Linked DNA regions of Diceros bicornis minor. The protein of the gene in region 1 purifies or fractionates together with the protein of each later gene. This does not show direct contact. Links are inferred from orthologs where the notes say so. Each region holds a gene or a part of one and is shown in the gene's direction. Other genes may lie near its edges. The genes, in order: CTTN, ASAP1, ACTR2 and FLNA.

What was found.
Region 2: the proteins of CTTN (region 1) and ASAP1 purify together in Homo sapiens (affinity purification with western blotting; 6 studies listed by BioGRID and IntAct, with this or other methods). This does not show direct contact. The link is inferred for Diceros bicornis minor from reciprocal best matches to the Homo sapiens genes CTTN and ASAP1.
Region 3: the proteins of CTTN (region 1) and ACTR2 purify together in Homo sapiens (affinity purification with mass spectrometry; 3 studies listed by BioGRID and IntAct, with this or other methods). This does not show direct contact. The link is inferred for Diceros bicornis minor from reciprocal best matches to the Homo sapiens genes CTTN and ACTR2.
Region 4: the proteins of CTTN (region 1) and FLNA purify together in Homo sapiens (affinity purification with mass spectrometry; 3 studies listed by BioGRID and IntAct, with this or other methods). This does not show direct contact. The link is inferred for Diceros bicornis minor from reciprocal best matches to the Homo sapiens genes CTTN and FLNA.

Annotation. Positions count from the first base shown.
Region 1 is NC_080770.1:3,893,393-3,900,448, reverse strand, and holds the start of CTTN (src substrate cortactin), read left to right. Parts: upstream 1-4,036; 5' UTR 4,037-4,106; intron 4,107-7,056.
Region 2 is NC_080760.1:44,858,874-44,866,021, reverse strand, and holds the start of ASAP1 (arf-GAP with SH3 domain, ANK repeat and PH domain-containing protein 1), read left to right. Parts: upstream 1-4,132; 5' UTR 4,133-4,384; intron 4,385-7,148. UniProt on the Homo sapiens protein: Possesses phosphatidylinositol 4,5-bisphosphate-dependent GTPase-activating protein activity for ARF1 (ADP ribosylation factor 1) and ARF5 and a lesser activity towards ARF6.
Region 3 is NC_080751.1:22,559,993-22,567,322, reverse strand, and holds the start of ACTR2 (actin-related protein 2), read left to right. Parts: upstream 1-4,319; 5' UTR 4,320-4,395; coding exon 4,396-4,443; intron 4,444-7,330. UniProt on the Homo sapiens protein: ATP-binding component of the Arp2/3 complex, a multiprotein complex that mediates actin polymerization upon stimulation by nucleation-promoting factor (NPF).
Region 4 is NC_080781.1:138,288,994-138,296,523, forward strand, and holds the start of FLNA (filamin-A), read left to right. Parts: upstream 1-4,518; 5' UTR 4,519-4,612; coding exon 4,613-4,985; intron 4,986-7,530. UniProt on the Homo sapiens protein: Promotes orthogonal branching of actin filaments and links actin filaments to membrane glycoproteins. Anchors various transmembrane proteins to the actin cytoskeleton and serves as a scaffold for a wide range of cytoplasmic signaling proteins.

The DNA of each region.
Region 1 (7,056 bases):
GAGAGAGGCAGTGGGAGTTTGGGACAGACACACAGAGGAGAAGAGAAGGCCATGTGCAGCCAGAGGCAGCGACTGGATGATGCAGCCGCAAGCCAAGGACTGCTGGCAGCCATCAGAAGCTGGAAGAGACAGGAAACCTTTCTCCCCCAGAGGGTCCAGAAGAGACGCAGGTCTACCGACTCCTTGATTTCAGACTTCTGGCCCCCAGACTGTGAGAGAATAAATTTCGGTTGTTCTGAATCCTAGACCATGGTAGTTTGGTACAGCGGCCACTGGAAATGCACACAGCCCTACAGGTATGTCGGGTGCAGGAACTGGGTCACCTGCGCCTCCCAGAGATGTCCCCTCTCATCGTCCTGGCCTCTCGCACTGGCCCCTTTGTATTCCGTTAGGACTCCTGGTTAGGACCATGGCAAGGGGCGGCCAGGGAACGTGCCGGCTCGTAGAAGCGAAGGGGGTAAGGAGGACCTGGTCTTGGGGATCAGCAGGCACCGCCTGGTCCCGGCTCCTCTGCTCCTGAGGGCTCTCCCCTCACCAAGGAAGACGATGCCCTTGGCTGAGCCTCCCTCCTGCCCTCATCTGGGCCTCACTTCCCGGAAAGAATGGAACTTCCGGGTCACCCAGAAGCCTCAGCAAAGTCTCACTGGACCTGGTTGAACCACGTGCCTTCTCTGGAGCCAATCAGCGTTAGAGGAGTGCAGTGTGCTGATTGGCTGAGGCCTGGATCGTGGGATGCTCCCTGGAGCCTAGGGTGAGCCCGCCTCTGCAAGTTGGACTGGCGGTCAGAGAAGGAAAGGTGGGGAAACGTGGGGCACAACTGAGGTACCTGCAGTTTTCCCAGTGAAAGAGGATGCTCTGAATCATTTCCCCCAGACCACAGGTGTGGGTCAGGACTGGGGTCTCGCCCACTTGCTGTGTGGGCGAGGTAGGGCACCCAGCCTCTCTGATCTCCCGCATCTCTGCTTAACTGAAATGCACATACCTTACCCGGCCTGCCTGCCTCACGGGCTTTCTCTTCCTGTTACCGCCAACTAAGGGCCAACACTTATTGGGCACTTCCTGCGTGCCAGGCCCTGGGCTCATCAAACAGCATGCAGTCCTCATGTTACAGCTCTGGGGTGCAGGTGCTAGCTGACAGATGGGGAGACCGAGGCTGGGAAAGGCAGAGTGACTGTCCACTGCCACACAGCTGGTAGATGGTGGAGCTGGGATATGTAGTCAGGTCCTCAGCCTCCAGAGCCTCTGTGCACAACGTTTGTTCCTGTCCTCAGATGAATCAAGTCCTCTATGGAAGATGCCACCAAAGGGAGCCTTCCCTGAGTCCAGCCAGCAACCAGCTTGATACTTGACTGCACACTGCGCTGCACTGTGTGCAGTAATGACAGACGTGAAAACACTTCCATGTGTCCGACCTCGATGTTCCCCTCCTCTCCTCCCTCTGTGCCCTTGCTCGAATTTCTCCCTCTTCCTGGGACACCTTCCTACCTTTTATGTCTTCATCCTGCTTACTCTGAAAGCCCCAGCTCAAAAGCCACCTCTCCAGCATCACTTCTCGGACCTCACCTTGATGTGCCACAGGCCCCTAAATGTTCCAAGTCCAAAACCGTATTCTTCTTCTCCTCCCTCCATCTTGGTGCGTCTCTCCCCGACCTCTGCCCATTTTCCACATCTCAGCATCTACTTAGATGCTCGGAGTCATCTTTTTGTAATGAAAAATTTCAGACTTTAGAATGGACGAAACTGATTACTGGATATTCTTTCAACAGAACGCTGGAGCCTCTGAGAATCATCTCATTCTATGGGACGTGTGCCTTTGTTTTTGCCTAGACTATTTCATACCGCTGCGGACGTAGAAGTAAACTTGTAGAAAACAGAGAGCAATGCTAATAATTCTTGTCCATAGAGACACAAATTAGCTGTGTCCAGTGACACACAATTGACTATTGCCCTATGCATAGACCAGTTTTTGCAAATTCGTTTCAGCATTTCTTTGACTTCTCCTCTTAATAAGTTGTAACACCTTATTGCTTCATTCATTATTAAGTGAAATAAAATCTTTGACATGTGTTCATTTATGCGTGTATGAAAATCATGATTTTTTCTTTTTTAAAAATATTATCCTTTGACACCTGACATTTCCTTCCCCACCCCACACCCCCAATCCATCCTCAAACCTGACAGTTTAACTTTCTAAATGTCTCTTGTATCTACTCGCTTCTCTCCATCTTACCTGCTACCACCAGTTTGCCTGAATTGGCTGGACTAAGGTCCTCCCTGGCCCTCTTCCCATCCATTCTCCACAGGAGTTAGAGGGATTTCATTACAATTCAGACTTCATGATGTCTCTCCTCCACTTAACTTCCTCCAAGGACTTCCCATTTCTTTTAGAATAAAGACCAAGGTCCCCGCTGTGCCCTGCCAAGCTCTACATGACCTGGCCCCACGCCACCACACTGCCCTGCTTCATCACCACACTTCTGCTACACTGAACATCCCTTAGTTCCTCTGTGGCGAGACCTTTCCCATCTCAGGGTCTTTGCACGTGCTGTTTTCTCACCTGGAAAATTCTTCCCTCCTTATCTTGTTTACTTGTATTTGGCCTTCATATCTTGGCACAAATGTTAATTGCTCAAAGAAACCTTTTTTGATCTCCTGGATGAGTTCAGGTCCCACCTTTTCCTCAATCTAATTTCATGACACCTTTGACTTCTTCATAGCATTTATCTTGTTTCCTAATTATATATCTCTGTGATTAATGCCTGATTCTCCTTCTAGGCTGCAAGGTCCCTGAAGGCAATGTCCATGTTTATTCTGCTGACTTTCTTTCTTTCTTTCTTTCTTTTTCCTTTTTTTTGGTAAGGAAGATTGGCCCTGAGTTAACATCTGTTGCCAATCTTCCTCTTTTTGCTTGAGGAAGATTGTTGCTGAGCTAACATATGTGCCAATCTTCCTCTATTCTGTATGTGGGATGCCACCACAGCATGGCTTGATGAGTGGTGGGTAGCTCTGCACCCAGGATCTGAACTTGCGAACCCTGGGCTGATGAAGCAGAGCGTGTGAATTTAACCACTACGCCACTGCGCTGCCCCCCATGACCTTCTATCTCTGATGCATATCTGGCATTCTCTGGATGGAAGGATGGATGGATGATGAATGGATGGATGGATGGATGTTTGGGTGGATGAATGGATGATGGATGGATGTACGTATGCGTGGGTGATGGATAGAGGGATAGGTGATGGGTGGATGGAGAATGGATGGATGGATAGATGTGTGGGTGATGTATGTATGTATGTATGATGGAAGGATGGATGGTTGCTGGATGAATGAATAGATGATGGGTGGGTGGATGGATGGATGGATGAATGGAGGCTGGGTGGAGAAGATGGATGGTGGATGGATTTATGGATGTGTGGGTGATGGATGATGGATGGATGATGATGGATGGATGGATAGATGTGTGGGTGATGGATGACGGATGGATGGACGGAGAATGGAAGGATGGATAGACGTGTGGGTGATAGATGGAGGGATGGACGGGTGGATGATGAAGACGCTCGTCCGTCCAGTTGACTGGCCGTCACAGTCACCTCTCCTAGTCCTCATGGCTCAAGCGCCTGGCACTGGCCACAGGCCTGGCTCACTTTCCTTTCTCACCCCGGGCCGCGCTATGAATCCTGGAGTACCACCTCGGATCGTCTGCATCTCGGCACACTGTCGCCCGCACACGGTGGGCGCTCCGTCCATCTGTGTATGTATATGCGAATGCGTTCTGTCTAGGCGGGCTTTGCAGGCTCGCTCCCCGGCAGAGCTCGCGCCTGCGCTGGCGGTGGGCAGTGGGCGCTGCCCGTGCACGTGGGCGAGGGAGGCGGCAGGGGGCGGGGATTCAGGCAGCCCGGGCTCGACGCCGCTCCCACCGCGCGCTCTCCCGGAGCTCCCGCGGCCGCTGACGGGGCGGGGCGGGGCGTGCCGGGGGGGGGCGGGGCCTCGGCGGGACCCGGATGCGGCCCCGCCCCCGCCCGCGGAACCGGAAGTGGAGCCGGGCGCCTGGAAGCGGCGGGCGCGGTGGGGCAGAGCTGAGGCGGCCCGGACCGACCCAGGCGGCGGTGAGCGAGCGCGGCTTCCGCCGGGCGGGCAGGGCCGGCCCCCCCGCTCGCTCCCGGGGCGCCCCCGGGCCCCGAAACGGGAAGGAAGCGGCGGCCGCGGCGGTCTAGCCGCTCTTCCGCTCGCGGTTTCGGGGCGGGCGCGGGGGAGGGTTCCCCGGGCGGGGGGGGCGGGGGCCGCGGGGAGGGCCGGGGGGGGAGGGCCGGGGGCCGAGGTTAGGGGGGCCGGGAGGTGCGGGCCGGGGCTGAGGCGGCGGGGCTGGGGCCTGCGGGGGGCGGGGAGGAGGGGGCAGGTCTGAGGGGTCAGGGGTTCCAGCGGGAGGGGCCGGGGCTGCGGGCAGGAGGGAGAGGAGGGGAGCAGACGGGGAGAGGGTCTGGAGTCTCAGGGGGCTGCCCGGGACCCAGGGGACTAGGGGAAGACGGCGGAGGGCCGAGGGTCGGATGGGGGCGAAGTAGGAGAGGGGCCCTGCGGGGAGGGGGTCGGGATCGGGGGGTTAGGGGAAGGAGGTGGAGGGCCGAGGATCAGAGGGGGGCCAGGTGCCTTGGGGGGAGGAGGTCAGGGATCTAGGGGAAGGAGGTCGGGGCCCAGGGCCTTAGGGGAGGGGGATGCAGGGCCGAGGGGGAGGGGTTGGGGGTGCGCTGGGGTTGAGGTAGGAGAGGGGCCCTGCGGGGAGGGGGTCGGCATCGGGGGTTTAGGGGAAGAGGGTGCAGGGCCGAGGGGGAGAGTCTAGGAGTACGAGGGGTCGAGGTAGGAGAGGGGCTGTCCCTGGCGCCCGGGCGGGGCCTTGTAGCCCGGCTCCTGCGCCCGCACCTGGCCCGCACCTCCCGGCAGGTTTTGCAATCGGGTCAATGGAAATGCAGCGACACGCGCAGCTGCAGGCGGCTGAGAGGCTCTCTATTTGGAGCAGCCCCTCCTCTCGGTGTTTTGGAAATCACCAGAAAGGTGCTTCTGGGTTCTCTGTTTCTTTGATTTGGATCGCCTGAATATTGCAGCGGGAGCTTGATCCCCGCTGGAGGTCTCGGGTGGGGAGAGTGCAGGGCTTCCTCCGCCGCTGTGTGGACGTGTCGGGCCTGTTGGGGAGGAGTCCATCTTCCGCTGAACGCAGCTCTGGCGGCGGCCCCAGTGAGCGCTCCCTCCCCGTGATGCTCGCCTGAGCTCAGGGTCGACTGGCCCCACGGTGCTGTGTCCGGTTAATCCCCCAGGTCCTGATCGCGTGATTTCAGCCTGGCCCCCGGCTGGCCGAGGGCTGGGAAGGGCGCTGGCGGTGGGCCCTGCTCCCTGTGTCTGGCCGCGGGGGGAGGAGTCCCTGCCCCACTGCATGGAGGCCATCCTGTCTCTCTCTTCCCTGGTTGGAAAAGTGCTCCCAGATCCTCAAGGAGCGAAGAAGCATCCTAAAGGCGACTTTGAGACACTCTAGAAGAAGGAGCCAAGGGGGTGCAGAGTCCTTTTTGATACTCTGTTCACCAGTAACTGGAAGTTACCCCCACCCCCTAGATGACTTGTAGTGGAAGCATTTTGTTGGACTTATTCTTAAAACACTTTTAAGTGAACGTAATTGGTGATTCAGACCTTTGGTCGGTGCTGTGCAGTAGGTGCTCAGAAGGGGCATGGTTGAGTGAGTGAGTCATTGTGAGTGCCGGGTACTGCCTCATGCAGTCTGCCAGTGTCCTGGGGCAGCCGGGAGCTGGCTCAGGGTCCTATCAGAGCTCTGGTCCTTCCCTTTTGTCAGTGTGCAAGCAAGTGCTTTTAGTAAACTGAGTGAGTGTGCCCAGACAGGGGTGGGCGGGGTTTCCTCTGAGTAATCGTGGTGTAGGGAGTGGGCCTCAGATGGCTTTGTGTTCTCCCTGGTTTTCTGCTCCACTGCAGAGAGAGGGGAATGGAAAGCTAGTTCTGCATGGGGGGTTTTATCATTTCAAACACTCTCCTATGGAGGAGTTTTTCACTCTGTTTTTACGGCAGTGCAAGATGACCTCACACTTGTGAGTTGATTGGTACGTGTGACATTTGCAACGAAGGTTTACTATTAGTGGTGCTGGATAGAGGCGTTATCTTTTTTTTTTTTTGTGAGGAAGATCAGCCCTGAGCTAACATCCATGCCAATCCTCCTCTTTTTGCTGAGGAAGACCGGCTCTGAGCTAACATCTATTGCCAATCCTCCTCTTTTTTTTTTTTCCCCCAAAGCCCCAGTAGATAGTTCTATGTCATAGCTGCACATCCTTCTAGTTGCTGTATGTAGGATGCGGCCTCAGCATGGCTGGAGAAGTGGTGCGTTGGTGCGTACCCGGGATCCGAACCCGGGCTGCCAGCAGCAGAGCTCGCGCACCCAACCGCCAAGCCACGGGGCCAGCCCTACCTTATCTTTTTTTTGAACAGTATCTTTTGGTAACAACTTTATTGAGATATGATTCACGTACCATACAGTTCACCCATTTAAAGGATACAATTCCCTAGATTTTAGAATTTCCAACCATTTAGTGAGCAACCTTCACCACAATCAGTTTTAGATTAATTTCATCATCTCATAAGAAACACTGTTACCCCCTCCCCCCAACACTAGGCAGCCACTGATCTTTTTTTTGTGTGTGTGTGTGAGGAAGATTGGCCCTGAGCTAACATCTGTGCTCATCTTCCTCTATTTTACATGGGATGCCGCCGCAGCATGGCTTGACAAGCGGTGCATCAGTGCGCGCCTGGGATCCGAACCTGCGAACCCTGGGCTGCCAAAGTGGAGCGCTTGCACTTAACCGCTACGCCACCGGGCTGGCCCCTTCTGATCTACTTTTGTCTCTAGATTTGCCAGTTGTGGACATTTCCTATAAATGAGACTGTATAATATACGGTCTTTTGTGTCTGGCTTCTTTCACTGAGCATGATGTTTTCAAGAGTCATCCATGTTGTAGCGTGTGTCAGGACCTCACTCCTTTTTATTGCTGAATAATATTCCACTGTGTG
Region 2 (7,148 bases), on another chromosome or scaffold:
CCTTCCTCTTCCACCTCTCCCACTCTACTGGGACCTTCCCATCAACCACAGAGGCTCACTAGCCCACCATCTCTAAAGAATCCTCTACTCTTAGCGCCCACTACCTAGACTGTCATGGTTCTGAAAAGGGTTGTCTACACTCACTGTCTCCTACTCACTCCTCAGCCCACTGCAACCTGGCTTCCAATCCCTCCTGTCCATTGAGAAGCTCTAGCAAAAGTTATCAGCCTTCTATTGTCTACTGTCAAGTAAAATGGGCACTGGCTTTCCAATCCTTATTTGACTGAATTTTCTAGGGCATTTGAGAGTGTTGGCCATTCCTTCCTTCTAGAAGCAACTTCTTCCCTTGACCTCTGGTTTTCCTTCCACTTCCCTCCTCTGACCATGCTCTCTCAGCCTTCTTTGTGGGCAGCTCTCCTCTGCCGTTACAGCGTCCCTCTAGATTCAATCTTGATCCCAGTATCTGCCCACCCTACACACCCCTCAAGGGTGAATTCATCTGCAGCCTGCACCTAAAGCTTTAACCACCAGGAAAGGCAGTATGGGGTGGTGGTTAAGACCTGGACTCCAAAACTCCTCTATACACTAAGTGTTTGGCCTTGGGCAAGTTACTCAACACTCCTGCCTCAGTTTTCTCAACTGTAAAATAGTGCAAAGCTTTTTAGTCTTATTGCTTTCCATGTCTGAACACGTACCATTTCCTCAGATCATCTGGAACCTTGTACCCAAATATGTTATGTGCTCATGCTCAGTCTTTGCTCAGACACATAGGGAGTGCCCTGTCAGTACCTGTGAATAAATGAATGAATGCTGTCCTGGATTGAGTTTCCCCAGAAACAAATCTTGAGACAAGGAATTGGGTGCAGCTAGTTTGTCTGAGAGGGGATTGATCCCAGGAAGAACAAATGACGGAGTGATGAAGTGAGACAGGGAAGCGAGGAAAAGCATAAAGAGGGAGTTAATGAGAGTTACTGCTGGGGGCGACCGGACTCCCTTCCTCTGGGCACCTCTGAGGAAATGTGTTGAAAGCACGGTAGGACTGTTGCCCCTTAGGGATGGGAGGCTTGACACTTGTCCACTGATTGGTTAGGGAGTGCTCCAGGGCTGTTGGACACTTCCAGTCTGGGCAAGACCCCACAGCCCTGCAGAAAGGCTCCAGGCAGAGAGGGGGAGAGGTGTGCACTTCAGGTAGACAGTGCCTTGGATGGATGGCGTTAAATTACAGCTGCAGGTGAGCTCAGAGGTGGGCCCAGGGGACACAGAGCTTTTGCTCTGGCTGGCAGGTGTGGACCTCCTCATCTACCTGGATAAGCCCCACCTCTTCCTTGAAACTTAGTTCCAGAGCACTCACTTCTTGGAAGTAGTTTCTAATCTCCTGCTATAGATTGAATGTTTGTGTCCCCCTCAGATTCAGAGGTTGAGATCCTAACCCCCAATGTGATGGAGTTAGGAGGTGGGGCCTTTGGGAGGTGATCAGGTCATGAGGGTAGAGCCCTCATGATTGGGGTTAGTGCCCTTATAAAAGATACCCCGGAGAGCTCCCTCACCCTTGCCCCTTTCCCCATGTGAGGACACAGCAAGAAGACAGCTGTCTGTGAACTAGGAAGTGAGCTCTCACCAGACACCACATCTGTTTGCACCTATCTTGGACTTCCCAGCCTCCAGAACTGTGAGATGCAAATTTGCGTTGCTTATAAGTCACCCCATCAATGGTATGCTGTTATAACAGCCTGAACTAAGACACCCCTCATGCTGATTGAGAAACCCTCACCCAAGCTCTATGGAGCCCATGACACCCTGGACATACTTCTCTAAGAGTAATCATCTGTCTGTTTTCTAAACAGAACTTTCTTGCTGGACTTTCTTGGAGAGCAAGAACTGTTCATCTTTGCAGATCTGGTGCTTAGAAGATTTTTGAGCACATTATAGGCACGTAACCAGTACCTTTTAATGAATTCGAATTCACCTCGCTCAGGGCCCCGCCCAGAGTAAGCGGTCCATACCGCAGGCTCCTTTTCTTTCCCTCCAACTCAGAGTGTGCCATCTGACTTAGGCGAGCACTCATCGAGCGAGCATACAATGTGATAAATACGTTCTTTAATGAACAGAAGAGCTGGGGGAGCCCAAAGGAGGGAGCAGTTAACTGGGACTGTACCAATGAGACTGCAGTTACGTCGTCTGACAGTCTTAATTACTTATAGCTTTAACTTTCCAGAACCATTAATAGGGCGTCTGGCGCTTCTTCCGTTACACTGGGCTTTCCCATTGGACCGCCTCTCCGCCAAAGCGGAAGAGACAGGGGACACAGGCACAGAGTGAACCTGCAATTGCAGTCTGGGTTGCTCCTTTCCTCCATTTGATGTATCTTTATTGAAGGTCTCCTCGGGGCCAGTGCTGTTCTTGGCACTGGGACACGGGAGGGATGGGGACAAGCAGCAGGTGACCCATGCAGGGGGAGACAGATGATAAATAAGCAACCAAATAAACAAGGTAAGTGACGTGGGCTATGAAGCAATGAAACGGAATGTGACATGCGGGAGAGGTGGGGGTGGGAGTATAGGTGCCAAGGACAAATAGATCAATGGTTGGGGAAAGTCCCCTTTGAGAAGCTGACTTCTGAGCTGTGAGCTGAGTGCCAAGAGCAGCCAAGTGGAGATTATTCCAGACAGAGGGAACAGCAGCTGCAAAGGGCCTGGGGCAGGACCCTGGACTCCGGGTGCCAAGCCTGGAGCTTGTCCCACTGCTTCTGACCGCTGAAAAAGAGTTGCAGAAAAGAGGCAAACCTGGGTCTAAAAATGATATCTGGTTCTTACTTAGAGGAGAGGAGCTGATACCCAACTTTCAGTTCCTAGCAGGTTCATTTCAAGCTTCGGTTTCCACTCACGGGCATGCTGTTCCCGCTTCAAAGTCTGATTGGGTTTCAAAGGAATTTGAAACACTTACAGAAAGCCACCAAGCTACATCCTCCAGGTAGAAAACCCCAGTGCGGCATTTCCATGGGAAACCACAATGAATTACTCCCGCTGGCCGCCTAGTCCAGGCTGGACTGGACAGAGATTTAGTTTGGTTTTTTCAAACTTTGTAAAGCCTCTCCAAACTTTTTCACAAAGCCCCACAGTGTCCTGACTCTTCGGTTAAGAACAAAATCCCAAATTCCGTGAGGTTTGTTGAGTTTCAGATTTCACCAGAAGGGGGTCTGCCATAGCCACTAACCTTTTCCTCTGCAGAAAGCAGTTTCCGAAATGCTGCAAAGAAAAATAATCACTCGGTGATTAGAAGGGAAATGAAGTTCTAAGGCGTTGTAAGTAGACACAATACTATGCACAGCACACACCCCACGGGTTAAAACTCTCCTTTCTCTAATGTCTCCTATGATAATAAGGACAATCATGGCTATCATTTATTTGAGCACTACAATGTGTCAGTCTCTGTCTAAACATTTGGTTTCCAAATAAAACCTACGAGGGCAGTATACCGCCTCAGAGGCTCAGAGAAGTTAAGTGACTTACTTAAGGTAACACAGCTACAAAAAAGGCCAAGTCCAGATTCTAACCTAGATCAGAGTCCAACGTCCATACTATCACTTTCCATACTATTACTATAGCATCCTGACCTAGAAATTTCCTGACCCCTAGCACTGGGAAAAATGAGGAAATTAGCCGAGCGGAAGCAGTGAAAGGGGGCAGCCAGGTAAAGTCATTTCTTTTATTGAAAATAGGGGAAACGGCCAGGAGATTGTAAGTCCATCCTCTGCAGGATGGGAGACAGGCCAAGGCCCTTCCCTGCTGTCGGGGGCCTTAGACAGGCACCGCCCAAGGCCAAGGATTTATCTGGACAAATCCTACCCTTCCACCTCTGGACAAGGAGGAGGCAGGCCGGGGGAGTGTGGGGCCCACGGTGGGGGCCGCCCGAGCCCCGCCGGAGTCCGTGTGCCCCCCGCCCGGTGCCGGAGACCCCGCGCGCCCCGCCCGGGCGCCGGCGGGCCAAGGGTTAAGCGAGGCGGGAGCCCCCCGGCGCGCAGCGGCCGCGGGCCGGGAATGCTTAGTCAGGATCCCGATTTCCTGTCGAAGTGTTTGGATTTCCTGAAACCCGCGCCCTCCGCCGCCGCGCGGGATCGTCCGAGCCGCTCGCGTCGCCGCGGCCTCCTCCCCTCGGCACATGGTCGCCCGCCCCTTCCTGCGCCGCGCTCGCCTCCCGCGCCTCGCCGCCGCCGCCGCCGCCGCGGGGGGCCCTCTGCGCTCGGGCAGCCCCGGCCCGCGCCTCCCGCCGCCCGCTGCTCCGGCCGCCCGCTCCCTGCCGAGAGCCGCGATCGCCCGGCCGAGGGGCCCGGGGAGCCGGCGCCCAGCCCGCGATGGAATAATGCCCAGCGGCCCGCCCGGTCCCGGTGAGTTGCGGGGCGCCCGGACGGGCTCGGCGGGGTCGCCCTGGGTAGTCGGCGCCCCCTGCCCGGCCCCCGCGCGGGGAGGCGCCGGGCGGGCTCCCGGCCCCATCCCCGGCGGGGGTCCCTGTGCGCGGGGAGGGCGCCGGGCGGGCTCCGGGCCCCGTTCCCGGCGGGGGTCCCTGTGCGCGGGGAGGGCCCCGGGCGGGCTCCCGGCTCCATCTCCGGCGGGGGTGCCTCTGCGCGGGGAGGGCCCCGGGCGGGCTCCCGGCCCCATTCCCGGTGGGGGTCCCTGTGCGCGGGGAGGGCGCCGGACGGGCTCCGGGCACCGGGCACCATCCCCGGTGGGGGTCCCTGTGCGCGGAGAGGGCGCCGGCCCCTGGCTCCGCAGGGCCAGGCGAAGCCTCCCGGGGGGTCTGCTTTGCCGAGGCGCCGAGGTGGCGCGGGTGGGGCCCCGCGTGGCTCCCCGGGAGAGGGGCCGGGACAGCGCGCCTGGTGGCCGCGGCCCCGCCGATGGGGCGCCCTCCCGGCGCGGAGGCGCGGGCGCTGGCCGCGGCATTGTCTCTCTGGCGCGGCGGCGGCAAGTTCCCCGCCGTTCCTGGAAGAGCCGGCCCGGCCCCCGGCCCCCGGCCCCGGCTGGGACGCGGCGCTGCCAGGCAGGCCCCAGGCCACCGGGAGGGGAAAAAAAGATTCCCACTCGGGGCTTAGTGTTTGTCCACGGCAAGACTGGGAAGTGGCGTGTGTTTTTCCGCTTGTACCATTTGGGGACCTGCTGCATTTTCTGAGAGCGACATGAAGTTTAAAAGAAAAAAAAAAAAAACTCGCTGGCGTCTGGTATTCTGCGGTTTCATACATCCCGAGAGTTCTTCTCGGGCATTCCTAAAGCGGTTTCCTTGAGTAATTTGTTTTTCCACTAGCGCAGGGGGACGGATAGCCAACTTCAGACCATTGCCAGCGTGATCTCGGCTTTACCTGCGCTAATCGGAAAGAACTAGAACTTTCTCCCACTTTTTCCCGTAGACTCGGTCAGGTTGTCTGGCGTAATTGATTCTGGGAGCATGGATTGCTGAGTAATGTTTTGGGATTGTAAAACATAATTCGGTGTTGAGGCCAGTTTTATGTCTGTTGCAACCTTCTCTCCAAGCCCTTTCCGTTTTTCAGTTGGAGGTCCACTGTATTGCAAGAAGATGCAGGTCTTCTGGAAGCATCAAATCTCAACAGTTTAGAAGGAAAAAGGATCTTTGGGAACCACTGTTTCTGCCCCTTCTTGTTACACAGATGAGGCTGGGGGATGTGACATGACTTACTCAAGGTCCTGTGGCCAGTCTTCAGACTCCCCAGTCCAGTGCTCCTTTCACTGTGTCAGTTTATGGTCTGTGGGCCATGAAAGGTTTGGAAAGTGTCTTCTTTGCATTATAACCTTTATTGTTTTAGTGTCTTCTGTGCTTCTCTTGTTCTGTTTTATCTATTCTTGCTGTTGTTTTTGAGATATGCAGTTATCTTAAACTGCCTATTTTGAGATATAGAGTTTAAAAAAAAAATTCCCTAACCCCTACTGTTCAGCCACTAAATGGATTTGGAGATTCAGCCACCAAATGGATTTGAAATATAAAATGGGTAGCTTATTATATAGGGAATTACTTTTCTCTATCCCATTCTTTTGTGAAAAATAGAAACTTCCAAGTCCAAAAAAGGGCAATATCTTAGCACATAATATATGGTATGAGGTTTCTTAGACTTAATTTTCAGACCTCCTGTATCTGGTGAGCTAAGTATCCCATCTATTTTCCTCCTTATTCTGATAGCTGGTTTTTCATTTTTAGTATGTGATAATGTTGGAGAGGAAAGACTTTTTCGCAAGCTTGCCATTTGGTGAAGGAAACTGAAATTCTCTCCACCTACCCAGTCCTCACCAGCCACAGTGAGCCAGATTTTCAAAATCATTCAGAGACTTGCAGGCCCAAAAATGAATGTGTGCATTCAAATGGGATCCTCCCTCGCCCCTCGGGAGGACCCACCACCCAGCTGGCTTCTCCATGCTGCACCCAGCTGGCTGAAGTCTAGAGGGGAACCTGGAACAGTGTTGTTCCTCCATTTTCCCTCCAGGTTCTCAGTTGTGTTTGACTGTATCTTGCTGCCTCATTCTCATTTTTCCATCCTGTGTTTCTTCCTCTCACTTCTGTCCCAGCCGCTATATCTGGCATGGACTCGAGAAGAAGTCTTTTCTATGGGATGCATGACTGATCCCCGCATAAGCAATAGTGACAATGACAGCTAGCATTTATTGAGCACTTGCTGTATGCCCTAGACATGATACTTCCTAAGAAGTCCCAAAGAGGAGAGGGAACTTTTCTGGGAGCCCTGCCCAGAAAGGACAGAGCTTTTCAGATTCACCTGGAGTTGAATCATTCTTTTATGTATCCAGTACACATGTGCTAAGTGGCTCCCCTGTGGGAGGTGCCAGTCCTACAAAGATGAACAGGACCCTGGGTTCAAGGCCTTTTATTTCCAGCCTCATCTTTCAGTGTCAACCTCACACGTTCTCTTCTAATTAGTCAATTCAGCCAGCCTACTTCGAACCCCTGCTCCTTGCTAAGCACTGTGTGAATGATACAGTGATGGACAAGATAGGCCTGGCCTGCCCTCATGGAGCCTGCATTCCAGTGGGGGAGCTAGACAAAAACAAGGAAGCAGGTAACTTCCAACAAATGCAAGATTGTGATTCTTGTTATCAAGGAAACACACAAGGGATTGCAATCACGACCAAGGT
Region 3 (7,330 bases), on another chromosome or scaffold:
ATCTTCTTTGGAGGGCCGGCCCAGTGGCATAGCAGTTAAGTTTGTGCGCTCCGCTTCGGTGGCCCGGGCTTCACAGGTTTGGATCCTGGGCGCTGACCAATGCACCACTTGTCAAGCCATGCTGTGATGGCATCTCATATAAAGTAGAGGAAGATGGGCATGGATATTAGCCCAGGGCTAATCTTCTTCAGCAAAAGGAGGAGGGTTGGCATCCGATGTTAGCTCGGGGCTAATCTTCTTATGAAAAAAAAAAACCTACTTTGGTTTGTCTATTCAAATATTTTGCCCACTTTTATTTTTATTTATTTATTTTTTAAAGTTTTTTTTTCCAAACAGTTTTATTTATTTATTTTTTATTTTTTTGTGAGGAAGATCAGCCCTGAGCTAACATCCGTGCTAATCCTCCTCTTTTTGCTGAGGAAGACCAGCTCTGAGCTAACATCTATTGCCAATCCTCCTCCTTTTTTTTTTTCCCCCAAAGCCCCAGTAGATAGTTGTATGTCATAGTTGTACATCCTTCTAGTTGCTGTATGTGGGACACGGCCTCAGCATGGCCGGACAAGCGGTGCTTGGTGTGCGCCCGGGATCCGAACCCAGGGCCACCGGTAGCGGAGTGTGCGCACTTAACTGCTAAGCCACGGGGCTGGCCCTTTGCCCACTTTTAAATTAGGTAATTTGTCTCATTATTATTATGTGTTCTTATTCTGGATACAAGTCCTTTGTTGGATATATGATTTGCAAATATTTTCTCCTAGTCTGTGCTTGTCTTTTTGTTTTCTTAATACCTAAATTAAAAGTTTTAAGGGGCCGGCCCGGTGGCGCAAGCGGTTAAGTGCGCGCGCTCCGCTGCGGCGGCCCGGGGTTCGCTGGTTCGGATCCCGGGTGCGCACCGACGCACTGCTTGGTAAGCCATGCTGTGGCGGCGTCCCATATAAAGTGGAGGAAGATAGGCACAGATGTTAGCCCAGGGCCGTCTTCCTCAGCAAAAAAAGAGGAGGATTGGCGGATGTTAGCTCAGGGCTGATCTCCTCACAAAAAAAAAAAAAAAAAAAGTTTTAAATTTCTATTAAGTCCAATTTATTGATTTTTTTTTTTATGGATCATGATTTTGGTGTCATAACTAAGCAATCTTTGCTTACCATAACATCAAAAGGTTTTTCTCCTGTTTTCTTCCAGAATTTATAAAGTTTTAGCTCTTTTATATTTAGGTCTATGATCCATTTGAATTAATTTTTATGTATGGTGCGAGGTAAGGATCAAAGTTCTTCTCTCCCACCATGCATGGATATTTAATTGTCCCAGCACTATTTGTTAAAAACATTACCCTTTCCCTATTGAATTGTTTTAGCATATTTGTTGAAAATCAATTGACCATAAATGTAAGGGTTTATTTCTGGTCTATCTATTCTGTTCCGTTGATCTATATGTCTATCCTTATGCCAATGCCACACTGTCTTCATTACTGTAGCTTTATAATATGTTTTGAAATCAGATAATAGAAGCCCACCACCTTTGCTTTTCTTTTTCAAAATTGTTTGGCTATTCTGGTTCCTTTGCATTTCCATATACATTTTAGGATCAAACTTGTCAATTTCTAAAAAGAAGAAAGCCTGCTGGAGTTTTGATAGAGACTACATTGAATGTATAGATAAATTTGGAGAGAACTATCATCTTAACAGTAAGTGTTCAATCCTTGAATATGGTATGTTTATTTATCTAGATCTTTGGTTTCTCTCAACAATGTTTTATAGTTTTCAGTGTATAGGTCTTACATTACTTTCATTAAATTTATTCAGATTTTTATGATGCTCTTGTGAATGGAATTGTTTTCCTAATTTCATTTTGAGATTGTTCACTGATAGCATATATAAATACACTGATATCTGTATGTAGATCTTATATCCTATGACTTTGCTAGACTTAATTTTTGTTAAATCCCCCATTTCTCATGTGTAAAATGGGGATATCTATCTGGCAAGATTTTTGTGTGGAATAACGTACGTAAACTCTCAACTGAAGGCTAGAAATGAAGCCCCCCTCCTGAAAAATTCAATTACGTAAAATCGGGGGTGGGGTGGGGGGGTGGGCACAGTATTTTGAGGAAAGTAAAATGCCAGGATTCACCTGGTGTAAATGGCAGGAACCATTCACCAATAGTATTATATCTGAATTTGCATAATCAAGGAGTTTTGCTACATTTTCATTTGTGTAGTGAATAGATGTTTGCTATTTTCTATCATCTGCATGTATTGTTTTTACAATCAGAAGAAAACAACAAATGTTATTCTTAAAAAGTAAAAATCAGGGTCCGGCCCCGTGGCTTAGTGGTTAGGTGAGCCTGCTCCACTGCTGGTGGCCCGGGTTCGGATCCTGGGCGCGCACCAACGCACTGCTTGTCCGGCCATGCTGAGGCGGCGTCCCACGTACAGCAACTAGAAGGATGTGCGACTATGACATACAACTATCTATTGGGGCTTTGGTGGGAAAAAGGGGGAAAAAAAGGAGGAGGATTGGCAATAGATGTTAGCTCAGGGCCGGTCTTCCTCAGCAAAAAGAGGAGGATTAGCATGGATGTTAGCTCAGGGCTGATCTTCCTCACAAAAAAAAAAAAAAAAAGTAAAAATCAGTAATCCATTTAATTTCATAAAGAGGAAAAGTAAAAGGACATAGAAATGCTTGCGTTCAATTTGCTGAGACCAATTAAATGTGCTTCCAGGAAAACTGCACAGTGCTAGGCACTGGGGTCACAAAAATAAGATATATAATTTATGAACTAATACACAGTTCAGCAGGCTTCTGAAGAACCTCGACGACTATTGAAGCAGGGTTGGGGAAGACATAGTTCCCTGAGGCTTCCTTCCCATCCTAACCTCTCAAACTTCCAACTACCACTATGGCAGCTTTACTTTGATCTATTTTATATGTTGGGGTTCCATATAAGATTAAATTTGAATAAAGCATTCTATGCCTTTATAAAGGTTTGAAAACCACTGGTCTAATACAAGAACTAAGTGAAAACGGAGAGGCAGCCTAGTATTATAATACTGAATGGGGGGTTCATAATCCAAGTTTTATTCTAGTCATTGTACATGTACAGCCATGTGGAAGGCACAATTCTAGTTCTCACCTCTCGAAAAGGATGGCATTTTTTTCTAGATGAATTTTAATGTCATTCATCCATAAATATTTGTTGAGTTTAACAAGCACAATAATGTTATTCATATATCCATTGTAAAGTAATAACAAAGGAAGAGAGTAAAGAGCATCTTGAGGGTTATCAGCAAAGTCTTCAGAGAGTGACAACTGGGTCTTAGAGCACCAGTCGAAGTCTCCCAATTGATTAAAAAGAAAAAAGGTAGGGGCATCACAGATGGAACTGCACATTTAAAAATATGGAATTAATAATAAATAGCTACCAGTGAATGGATGCTTACTCTATGCACAGAATTTTATCCTCACAACCACCCACGGAAGTAGAGGTTATTACACCCATGCACAGACAAGGATATGCCCAAATCAACAAAACTCTTGAGTAGCAGGGCCAGATTTGAAACTGGGGTTGTCTATTTCAAAGCCGAGGCTCTAGGTTCAAATGGGTACATATACTTAAGAGGTGTGAAGCCACACGGTGCTGCTGGAAGAGGAAAGTGGTGAGTTATAAGGCTGGAAATGTAGGCACCCACTCTCATTCACTTGACTAAAGACAATTTGGGCAAAGAAGAGTTGGGCTGGAATTGGAGGTATCGGTATAAATGCATGATTTCAAATATGTGTGTGTGGGTGTATCCATTAAGGCTCTGTCCACTGAAAAGGCCTAGAAAGCAAGAGCACACCAAGCCATGTTCAACCGTGGGATGGGCAAGCACCTCCAGGTTTGCTTCCCCACACGGCTGGCTTTTCCGCCACATTCCATTGCCATCTCGCCACAGACCCGGTGTCCTTCACCTGCCTGCGCCTTCTGCAGCAGGATGAGAGGCGCCCTCAATTCCAGACACGCCTGAGGGAGAAAGTCGCAACACCCTCCAGGTTGACTGCCATCAACGCCCGGCGAAGCCCGGGGAACAAAACGCTGAGAGGAAGAATCCCGGGTGGGCGGCGTCGGTGACTGTGGGGCTGGAGCCGGAATGGAGCTGTGGGCGGGGCCTTGGCGCTTCTCCGTTTCTTATAGGAGCTCACCGCTGCCAGTCTCGGCCTCCTCCCACCTGTCCCCACATCTTCCGCATAGGCCGTCAGTCAAATGGCGGGGGGGGGGGCGGAGGAGACTTCCGGTTGGGGGGAGAAAGTTGGGACGAGGGAGGGGCCGCGAGCGCGGAGGAAGAGGAAGAGGAAAGGGCCGGGCGGCGGCGGCGGCTGTAGGTTGTTCGGCGGTGGTGGCGGCTCTCTTCCGGGCGGACGATGGACAGCCAGGGCAGGAAGGTGGTGGTGTGCGACAACGGCACTGGGGTAAGCGCCCGGCGGGGAGCCGCGGCGGCCACAGGCCCGGCGGGGATGTGCGGGGGGCGCGCGGGCCCTCGGCGTCCGGGGCTGCACCCCTGGGCCCTCGGGCCGGCGGGATGAAGGGGCGCGGGCCAGCGCTGCCTGCCCCCACGGGCGTGGGGAGTTGGCGGGCCCGGTCCGGCTCAGGTCTCCCGGAGCCTCCCACCCCGGCCGCCTTCTGGGTCAGGGCGGCGGGCGAGGCCGGCGCTGGGTGGGCATGTCACCTGCTGCCCGGCAGGGTCGGCTCCGCGCTCCAGCGGGGACAATTTGGCTAAAGGGCCGGAGGGGTAAAAGGCTGGGTTTGTGTGTTCGAGAAGGGCTCTGTTCCCCACGGTCGCTGGTGTGTGAAACGGAGAAAGACCTAGAGGCCTTCTTCTTCCTGTATAGTTGAAGGTAGCGAACGAGAGGCAGGAAACGAGTTTAAAGAAAAAAAGGGAAGTGCTGTCATGCAATGAGCCTCAGCCCTTTCGCAGTGTTAGAGGGTTATGTTGTGTGTGGTTTTTTTTTTTTTGAGAGAAGGGGAGGCTAGATAGCAGCACATCATTTACTTTTTGTTCTGCGCGCTGGGAATTTGGCCCAGGGGCAGCCCCGCAGAGACCAGCATGTTCCATTGAATGATCTTGGGAGATCTAGGACCCCGCAAGGCCGAAGGGTTAATTCCACTGACCTTGGGGGAAGGTAATCAGTTTTGGTCTCCCCCCTTCCTTTTTTTCCTTAGGTGCACTAAGATTCTAAAATGCAAATAATTGTAAAAATCTGAGTAAAACACTTTTTTAGAAATTATTTGAAAGTTATCTCAAACGCCCACCCCCTTTAAAAAATGTATTTTGAGGGGCCGGCCCGGTGGCGCAAGCGGTTAAGTGCGCGCGCTCCGCTGCGGCGGCCCGGGGTTCGCTGGTTCGGATCACGGGCGCGCACCGACGCACTGCTTGGTGGGCCATGCTGTGGCGGCGTCCCATATAAAGTGGAGGAAGATGGGCACCGATGTTAGCCCAGGGCCGTCTTCCTCAGCAAAAAAAAAAAAAAAAAAAAAGGAGGAGGATTGGCGGATGTTAGCTCAGGGCTGATCTCCTCACAAAAAAAAAAAAAATGTATTTTGGGCAGCAAAGTCAGCAGATTAAAAGACGGAAATGTTATTTATTTTGGATGAGTTCTGTAGTGATCATTTCCCCTTCATTACAGTAATGTCGAACCGTTTTGGAGTTGCATATTGTGTGACTTTTCTCCCCTGCCTTCCATAAATGTGACATATGAATTAAAATAGATTTTACTTGAACTTTAAAACACTTCGGAAACTGGATTGTTGAGGGGGAAAAAAAAGCTAATATTCACTACCATAATACTTCCCTTGATTGAATTTATTAGAGATTTTTACAAGCAATAATTATACTAGCTTTCTGAACTAAGTTAAAAATGAACAAGAGTAAGAAGAGTGTTATAATGGGACATCCATACAAAATAGAATACTTAAAAAAGGCAGATTCACTGCTATGGAAACATGTCTTAACTTAAAAAAAATTTTAGAATGAGCCTATTTATGTGTGTTTTCTGTATTAAAAGATATTTATATGTATGCAAACTTGTATCTGTATATGAAAGTTTTGGAGGGATGCGTAAGGAATGTTCATATGGTTACCTGTGAGACTAGGAATAGGAAGTGAGGGAAGATAGGAAGGACTTCATGACTTCCGAATTATTGGAAAAATGTTCTTTGTTTTGTTTTTTAGCAAAACATGTATTAAGCTATCTTTAAACTAAAGAAACTATAAATGTGTATTACTTTTACAGTTAAAACTCAGTTAAAGGTGCTTTTTAAAGAATTTAAGTTCCAAATTGACTTCTAAATAAATTTAAAGCTTTAAAAATTGAATTTAAAATATTTTATTTTGCTAATATTTTGTTTTGTCAGGTATTCTCTTTAGAAATCTGAGCCAGCTATATTTTATTGGATTCTTCTTTTTTGAATGGTAATGAACCCTGTATTTGTAGTATAATGAGCTTTTCAATATTCACTTAGAATAGGACTGTTAACCATGAGCTCATTTTTATGTTACTATTTTATTATTTTAGCTGTGTTGAAAGCTGATTGTGTATTATTGGTTAGTCTCATGTCTAATCCATAATTTAAGAATCTTGTTCCTTAAGACAAGGGATCAGTTACTATGACATAAATAGAAAAAATGTAGTTAATTCAAACAAAAATGTATTTGGTGTTACATTTCTAGTTGTCTTTAAATTTTATCCAGATTTTCTATAGACACGATCGACTTCAAATGAAGAAAGAGCTCTGATATAATACGTAATCAGGATGCTGTGATATTTCTGAAAATTTAGAGGATTAGGAACCATTTAGAGTCTATATTCTATTTCTTACTGCTTATACTTCATAGTCATCCTGATTTTATTTAGTTACCTGAAGGTATAGTGATTCCTTTACAATGAAATATTAAAGAAGATATTCAAATTTAATTTCTAAAAACTTGTGGGATTAGTTGTTGCCCTAAAGCAACTTGTCTCTTACACATTTTAGGTCTTAAAATTACAGGCAGTTTGAGAAGTTGATGATTTTTTAAACTCCTCTGGCAGGCCCTAAGTCGAATGCTCTAAGAGTAGGTGAGATCTTATGATCACATGCCAGATGTTGATCCTGCTTCTCTTCTCACTAGCCCCCAACTAGAGCAGTGTCTCGTTAGAGCAGCCTACAGGAGGGAAAGTCATCCTATTCCAGTAATTTATGTGCTTCATCTTCGTAATTGTTCAAACCTACTCCGTAAAATAGCCACTGAAAGTGGCCAGATAGATGAAAATCTGAAGGTCTCCTTAGGTTTAGGTGCTTTTCAAGAGTTGAGCCCAG
Region 4 (7,530 bases), on another chromosome or scaffold:
ACTGCTCACCCCAGCAGTGGGGGGGGGTTCCCACCAGAGGGAGCAGGGAGGGACATGGAGCCCCTGGCACTGCTAGGAGATCCCACTGTGAGTCAAGGTGGAAAGGTCATTGCAAGCAGAGCTAACAAAGGCAGCAGTGGCTGCAGGGAGGCCTGGAGGGCAATCAGCGCCTTCCTGTCAGTGTTCAACTGTAGATGGCCAAATGCATTTAGCAGGTGTAACCAAATTTCTTCCTGCCTCCCTCCCTTCTTTTCTTTCTCTCTTCTAATGAAGTAGAGTAGAATAGAAAATACCAAGTGCTTTTTGGGTAGTGAGAGAAAGTCTCCTTTTCTGGATCGTTTGTCTCAGTTATTTCTGTCAATCTGTGTATGTGTGCTTGCACAGCTGGGCTCAGGATGTCAAATGTAGTTCTTATTGGGGCTTGTGGGCAAAATGTTAAAGTGACACTGCTTTATGTGGCCTTCCCCAAGGAAGTGACAATTGAGCTACATCTGAAGCTACCAGGAAATGGGCACATAGAAGAGGAAGAGGGAGCCTGGCAGTGCCAGGGCGTGGCTGTGCCCACCCAGTTCACGAACACTTGGCTCTTTGGCTGCAACCCACTGCACGCTCCCAGACTTTGGGACTGCACCTAATTGTGCTCCTGAGAGTTCAGTACGTCTCTGCTGCCCGCTCCCAGGCCAGGCTTGGCACCCAGCAGGGACCAAATCAGCAGCAGCGGGGATACTTGCTCATCCCGGGGTCCGGGTCCCTGCCCCACTGTGGTCTTGTGGGTGGTAGGCACTCAGTGAACACCTGCAATGGCCTGTTGTGCCCCAACCCCAGAGGGCAGAATCCAACTTGCCTGGCCAGCCCAAGTTTGGGGCAAAGTCAGAAGGCCGTGACTGTGGGCGGCTCCCTGGAGGAGGTGGCTTTTCTGGCTGGGCTGAGACGTGGGCCCTGCAGACCCCGCGAGCTCTTGAGGCGACCCCACCCCACCCCTCGCGGCCCTCGCTGGGAGGTGAGGTCATCCGGGGGTGAGGGGGGGGCGGCGTCGCCAGGCGGTCCGGGCGCTGGAGCTCACGGCGCGCCCCCGCCCCCCGGCTCCTGGGCGATTTTACCAATTAAGGCTTTCTCGCCGGGCCGGGCCGGGCCGGGCCGTGCGCGGGGCGGGCGCGGGGCGGGGGTGCGGCCAACAAGAAGGCGGGCGGCGGCAGCCCATTCGCGTGGAGGCGCGCGGCGCGCAGCGGACGCCAGCGGAGCCCCGAGGCGCCGGGCGCGGGCGCGGGCGCAAAGGCAAGCCAGGCGCCACCGCGCGGTCGCCGGCCGCCCGCAGAGACAGCAGGTGAGGCCTCCGCGGCCGGGCTCCGCGCGGGACTGTCTCCGCGCTGCTCGGGGACCGGGGACGGGGGTGGCGAAGGCAGGCGGAGAGGCCCCGAGAACGCAGGCGCCGGCGCGCACCCAGGCCCAGGCCAGGTGCAGCTGGGGTGGTAAGCGCAGTGGAGGCGCCCGCGGCCCCTGTGAGTGCAGTGCCCAGGGGCTGCCTTTCCTAGTTTACCCGCGAATCTGTGTCTGTGCCCAGGAGTGTGGGAGCCCAAGGCCATGGGGGTTCCTGAGAGAGGATATCTGAGCGTTTGGCAGGATATGGGCTCGCGTGGGTGCCCAGGAGCTGGTCACTGCAAGACTGGGAAAGAAGGGCCCAGAGGGCAAGACATTGTGTGGGCTGAGGATGAGTGGCCACCTGGAAGAACACTTCGCAGCCAGTGTGCCCCCTGGGAGGGTGACAGTGGGTTCCTCACTTGCACCAGTCTTCATGGCACCAGCTGCCTTAGGCACAGGGGAGTTGGTTCTGGGGCTGCTGTGCTCCATGGGGACCAGGGCAAGGGTGCAGCCAGGCACAGGAAGCAGGGGCTCCTCGGACAGGCCAGATTCTCGGGCTGGGCCCTGGGCCGTGGGCCCTGTACCAGGTTGGCGCTGAGCTGGATGTTCCCCACTAGCCAGGATGTGAGCAGCAACGTCCTAGATTCCCATGCCCCCCAGGTCCAGGAAAAGTAGGTGAAGTCCGCTGGCAGGCCCACCTGCATGTGCTCCAGGCTGCCCGGTCAAGGTGGGAGCTCAGGCAGTGAGTGCTCTCACCTGCTGTACCTGGACTTGCCTTGCCAGTCCAGGTCTCTTCTCACTGTGCCATTCTGTAGATTTCCTCGCCAGCTGAAGCCCCCACCCCACGCCCCGCCGTGGGAGGACCTGGCCTGGTGTTTTAGGGCTGGGGGTGGGGGGTGGGGGCGGGGTGTGTCTAACATCCAAGAATCTACTCCAAATAAGGGAAAATATGAAAGAGCTGGATTTTGGCTTCCAAGGACTGCTGATCTGGGGGCTTTGGGATGGGGCGCCATCTGGTGGTGATACTATATCCCCTAGGGACAGGAACCCTCTACACCCCCAGCCTTTGTCATCCCCCAAATAGGGAAAGCCTAGGGCTGGAAGCCAGAACACCCAGCTTCTGTCCTCCAGTCTGCTAGAGTTAACTACTGGTCAGTTACTCTGACTCAGTTTCCCTGCTCTCTGAAGATATTAAGGAATGAACACAGATGACCCAGTTGGATGGCACTTAGTGGAGAGAAAATCAATTCTAGGTGTAATTCTGTCCTTGGGAATTGCTTTCCAGTGGGGCAGGGGCCAGAAGGACAACTCTCAGCCCATCTTGAATGGGGCCTGCAGCCCTCCCTCCTACCTCCACCCCAATTCCCAGCCCCTGTGGTGTGGAGTTTTCTACAGGTGTGTCTGAAAGGGGTCAGGAGAGGGGAGAGTGCGCAGGAGGTGGGCCTCAGACTGGGAAATGACTTTGGACCCCCCCTTACCCACCATTGGTAAGGAAAAACCAGTGGGATGACAGGCAGCCCCGAAGTGAGCATGCTGGAGGGCAGAGCAGATGCTGCCTGGCTCCACAGCCCTACCACGGGTCATGCAGTCACCCAGGGCTAGGCAAGTCAGCCATCTTTGGGCATGACATACTGCTGCCCCAGGGCCTCCTTTCCCACTGGTCTTTAGCAGATAACTTAATGACTACTAGTCTGCAGCTCAATCTAAGAATCAAGCAGAAGGGACAGAGACATGCCTTTCTGGAAAAAAAATGTAAAGAAGTGAACATTCTGGAGAGGAGAGGTATACAGGACTGGGAGGAGTGAGTCCACTCTGGGGATGAAGCCATGGGTAGGATGACTTCTTTTGACTGAAGAGGGTGGCAGTGAGTGTCCCCAATAGGCCTTGTGCCCCTGTGCTTTTGCTGGCCTCTGTCTCCCGAGTTATCTACCAGAAAATTAATTTTGAGCAAATAGCTCCCCATTGCCCTAGGAACACAGTCCAGGCTCCTCAGCAGGCCTTGGCAGCCTTCCATGGTCCCCCCCTCAGTCCTCAGGGTCCCCTGTGCACTACCACGACCCTGAAGCCCACCCAGACCCAGGTGCTGAGAGACTGCGAAAGCTTGTTGGAACCCCCGAGCAGGTCCCTGTGGGTCTGGAAGGGCCCTCCTGACCCTGCCTGGCCGCCTCCTGGGTCACACTGGGCTCAGGGGCCATTCTGACAGGAGAGGAAACCCCCAGTGCCCCAGGTCGACGTCATGGTGGGTCAGGCGGACACTCGCTGTCTCTGCACGCATCACACGGCGCCCCGTGCCAGTGCCTATTGGCACGTCCGGCCCCTTCCAAGGCTGTTTGCTCCTGGAGTGCTTGGCGGCCTCCTGGGCCACTGCCCCATTTCCTCCCGGTGGAGCGTGGAGGGACGGAGGGAGGCGATGGGGACCCGCGGGCGCAGGTGCGCAGGCCAGGGCCGTGCAGAGCCACCGGCCGGCCTGCGGCAGGAGGTTTGGGGGGCGGCTTAGGGTCCGGGCCCCGCCGGCAGCCGCCTCCCTGGCGTGGCGCACGCGCGCAAAGCGCTCGCAGGGGCGCCTGGCCCGGGACCGCGCTGTCCAAGGACTCGCTCTTAGAATCTGGCCCTTTCCCGCTGCTCCCGGGGCGCGGCCGGGAAACCCCAGGCGCTGGAGCCTGGGAACGGGCCGGGGGTGAGGGCGGAGTGGCAGGGGAGTGGCGGGGGCTGCTGGGACGGGGCGAAGCCCACGTGACTCAGGGAGGGTGAGCCACCCCACCCCCTGCAGGGGCCTTGGGGAGGGAAAGTCTCTTGTATGGCGTGCCCGCTGGAAGCCAAGTGGTCCAGCGCCAGACACTGCTCAGCCTTGCCTCGCTCTGGCAGCCCTTCCTCGCTGCAGTGTTTCCTGCAGTGCTAGTGTGAGACCGTGGGGTTTGGGTGTGTCCTTGCCCCCTTCCGGTCCAAACGACCCTCCCCAGAGCTGGGGGTGGGGATCGGGTGAAAACAGCTGGGGCGCAGGGGGCTAAGAGGGGCATTCCAACGGGCGGGGTGGGGCGGGTGCGGCCCCCGAAGCCCAACCCTGCGGCCCCGCCTCACTGCAGCCACACCCCTAGCTCCGCCCCACGCCCGCATTTAAAGGGCTCACTCTCTCCACAGCACAACCTCCGCTGTCTGCATCGCCCCGTGCGCGCTGAAGTGCCTGCGACTTTAATTAAAGGGCCGTCCCCTTGCCTAGGCTGCAGCACCGCCCCTCGGCTCCTCGCGCCTCAAAATGAGTAGCTCCCACTCCCGGGCGGGCCAGAGCGCAGCAGGCGCGGCTCCGAGCAGTGGCGCTGACACGCGAGACGCCGAGATGCCGGCCACAGAGAAGGACCTGGCGGAGGACGCGCCTTGGAAGAAGATCCAGCAGAACACGTTCACGCGCTGGTGCAATGAGCACCTCAAGTGCGTGAGCAAACGCATCGCCAACCTGCAGACGGACCTGAGCGACGGGCTGCGGCTCATCGCGCTGCTCGAGGTGCTCAGCCAGAAGAAGATGCACCGCAAGCACAACCAGAGGCCCACGTTCCGCCAGATGCAGCTCGAAAACGTGTCGGTGGCGCTTGAATTCCTGGATCGTGAGAGCATCAAGCTTGTGTCCATCGGTGAGGGCACGGGCCGCCCTGTGGCGCTGGGAGGGCGAGGGTGGGGGCTCCGCGTGTCCTCCCATCTTCCCTTGGCCGACCCCTCCCAGCCACCCCCCTAAGCCACAGCACTGTCCCAGGGGCCCGCGGGCCACCTGGCTTCGCGCGGGCCTCGAGAACAAAGGCGCGCAGGCAGGCCGGCCCGGCAGTGCGAACCGCTACGCGCCCCCACCCGCCCCACCCCGGCTGGCCCACGCCCAGGCTGAGCTCACATCCTCCGCAGACCACGCCCCCGCCGCTGAGCCTGCGGTGGGAGAGGGCCTGGGGCGGGGGCTTACGGGGGAGGGGCCGTGGTGGGGGACGGACGGGCACTGGCCAGGCTCTGGCCCTGCGCCCAGCGCCCCATCCCTGAGGAGGGGGAGGCCTGGGCTCTCCACCCCCTACAGCAATTTGGAGAGGGCCTTCTGGCGCCCCTGTGGTTCCTAAACCGGTTGGAGATCGTGGGTCCCATTGTCTAGGACTCTTGGCTTTTTCTGGCCCTGGAAGATGGGCCCCCCACTGGAGATGGCTCCAACCCCCAGTTTAGATTTTCCCCAGGGAGCTTAGGGGACCGGAGGGGACCATAGCTAGCAAAACGGCACCAGAGATGAGTCTGGGTGTCAGCTTGTAGCATGCTTAGACACCAAGTTACTGCTGATCTTAGACCAGACTCTTGCTCCCACTTTTGTGCATCTAGAATGCAGGAATTGGTTGGGAGGTACTCCAGCGTGCGCTGGGCTCACTGGGTTGGTGAGGCTTCATTGGCCGGGCCTACTGTAGCATCCCAGGCTCTTCTCAAGATGAGGGCCCCTCAGGCACAGGCACCAGAACTGGTGCCTTCGGGGGAATGTGCAACAGGGAGAGAAGAAGGGGCATGAGTTTTCTTCAGAATTGAAAGAAGCCTTCCAGTTGTCCATATGGCCCTGGCACGGTCCATGCTGAGCCTGAGAAAGTGAGGGACCAAAAATCAGGTGCCCCCAACGACTCAGAGGGCAGGTCTCAAGGGACCCACGTCTTTCTTTGGAATGCCATTCGAGGCTGAGGCCCACCCCCCAGTTCCAGCTTCAGTCTAGCCAAGCTGAGTCATCTCTGAGCCTTGGGTGGGGGGGCAACCGGATGTGGGGAGGCAGGCCACACCCCAGCTGTCTGGGGGGGGGTCTTCTCCTCCCTCCTCCCTTCTTCTCCTCCTCTTGTGAGCTGGCTGGAGCAGGCCTAGTTCCCAGAGCTTTGCCATATAAGGCAAAAAAATGTTGGAAAGCAGCAGTGATTAGGGGAGGGAGGGGGCAGGCTGGCCCAGGGGCTGGGGAAAGGGGGTGGGATGGGGCGGGGCCATCCAACTAGGCAGTCTCCCAACCCTGGGCCCCGGTCCTTCCCTCCCTTTTTTGTGAGAGGGATGGGGAGGGCCTAGGCTGGCCTCCTATGGACCAGGGGGAGGGCCCAGACAGACCCACCAGGGCTGATGAGCTTGATCTAGTGTGTTCCCTCAGGGGTCACAGCAGCAGGCGGGCCTCAGGCCTCCTGAGGGCTCTTATGCTGGACCCAGGACTCTGGGGGTGGGGGCCTGTTGGGAAGCCGAGGATGGTCCTGTGCCCTTGGTCTTCTCTGAACCATCCAGTCACCCCTACCCTGAAGCCGCATCTTTATCCTCCAGCCCGCCATATGGGGACTTCTGCAAGGCAGAGATGCAGAACTGGGACCAACCCCAGCCTGGGAACAGGGAGTCCACGCTGCTTTGAGTGGCTCAGCTGGTTCTCAACATGCTGCCTGTTAGATTCGGAGGCCACCTGCCATTGATGGCTCTTTTGGTGGCATCCATTCTCTTCTCAACCCCAAGTTGACTCACTAGACAAGTGTTTTCTCTTGATTATGGTGGGGGGGGCCACGGACACTAGCAGGGATTCCAAAGACAAGCCCACCCGTTCTCAGAGCCTCACCTCCAGCCCCCCATCTCTTGAGGAGGCTGAAACCCAGAAGGGCCTTGGGCGGGGCCCAGAGCCGGAGGGGTTGCCATGGTAACAGGGTGCAGAGTGTCCGCCCTAACCACTTCCCCTGTGGTGAGCTTGGTGGCTGCCTGCCTGAGTGAGGCCCAGTGGCCCGTTAGGTGGTGAGGAGGGCGGGCAGTGGCTGGGCAGGCTCTGCTGAGGCAGCAGGACTCGGGGACCCCACCCATGGCCTCTGCCACCCTAGTTCCCAAGCTGGGGCCTGGGCATCCAACCCAGGCTCACTGGCTCTGCACTCCTCTTCCTCAGGCTGGGTGAGAGAGCCCCCTGAAATGTGTCCTGCCTGTCATCCTGGCTGGCAGGCCATCCCTGCTGGTCCCCAGTGAGTCAGGGCCATGCAGCTCAACTACTGGTTCCTTTGGGCTCCCGGCCCCTCCATTGTGCCAGGCCTGCTGCTGGACTCCCAGCTTGGCTCTGCGGGGCGTGGGAGAGCACTAAGGAAGTGGGGGGTGGGGCTCACACCCTCCACCCAAAGGGTCCTTGCCCAACGCCTCCGCTTCCTCTGCCTCATGGCTGCCTCATGCCGC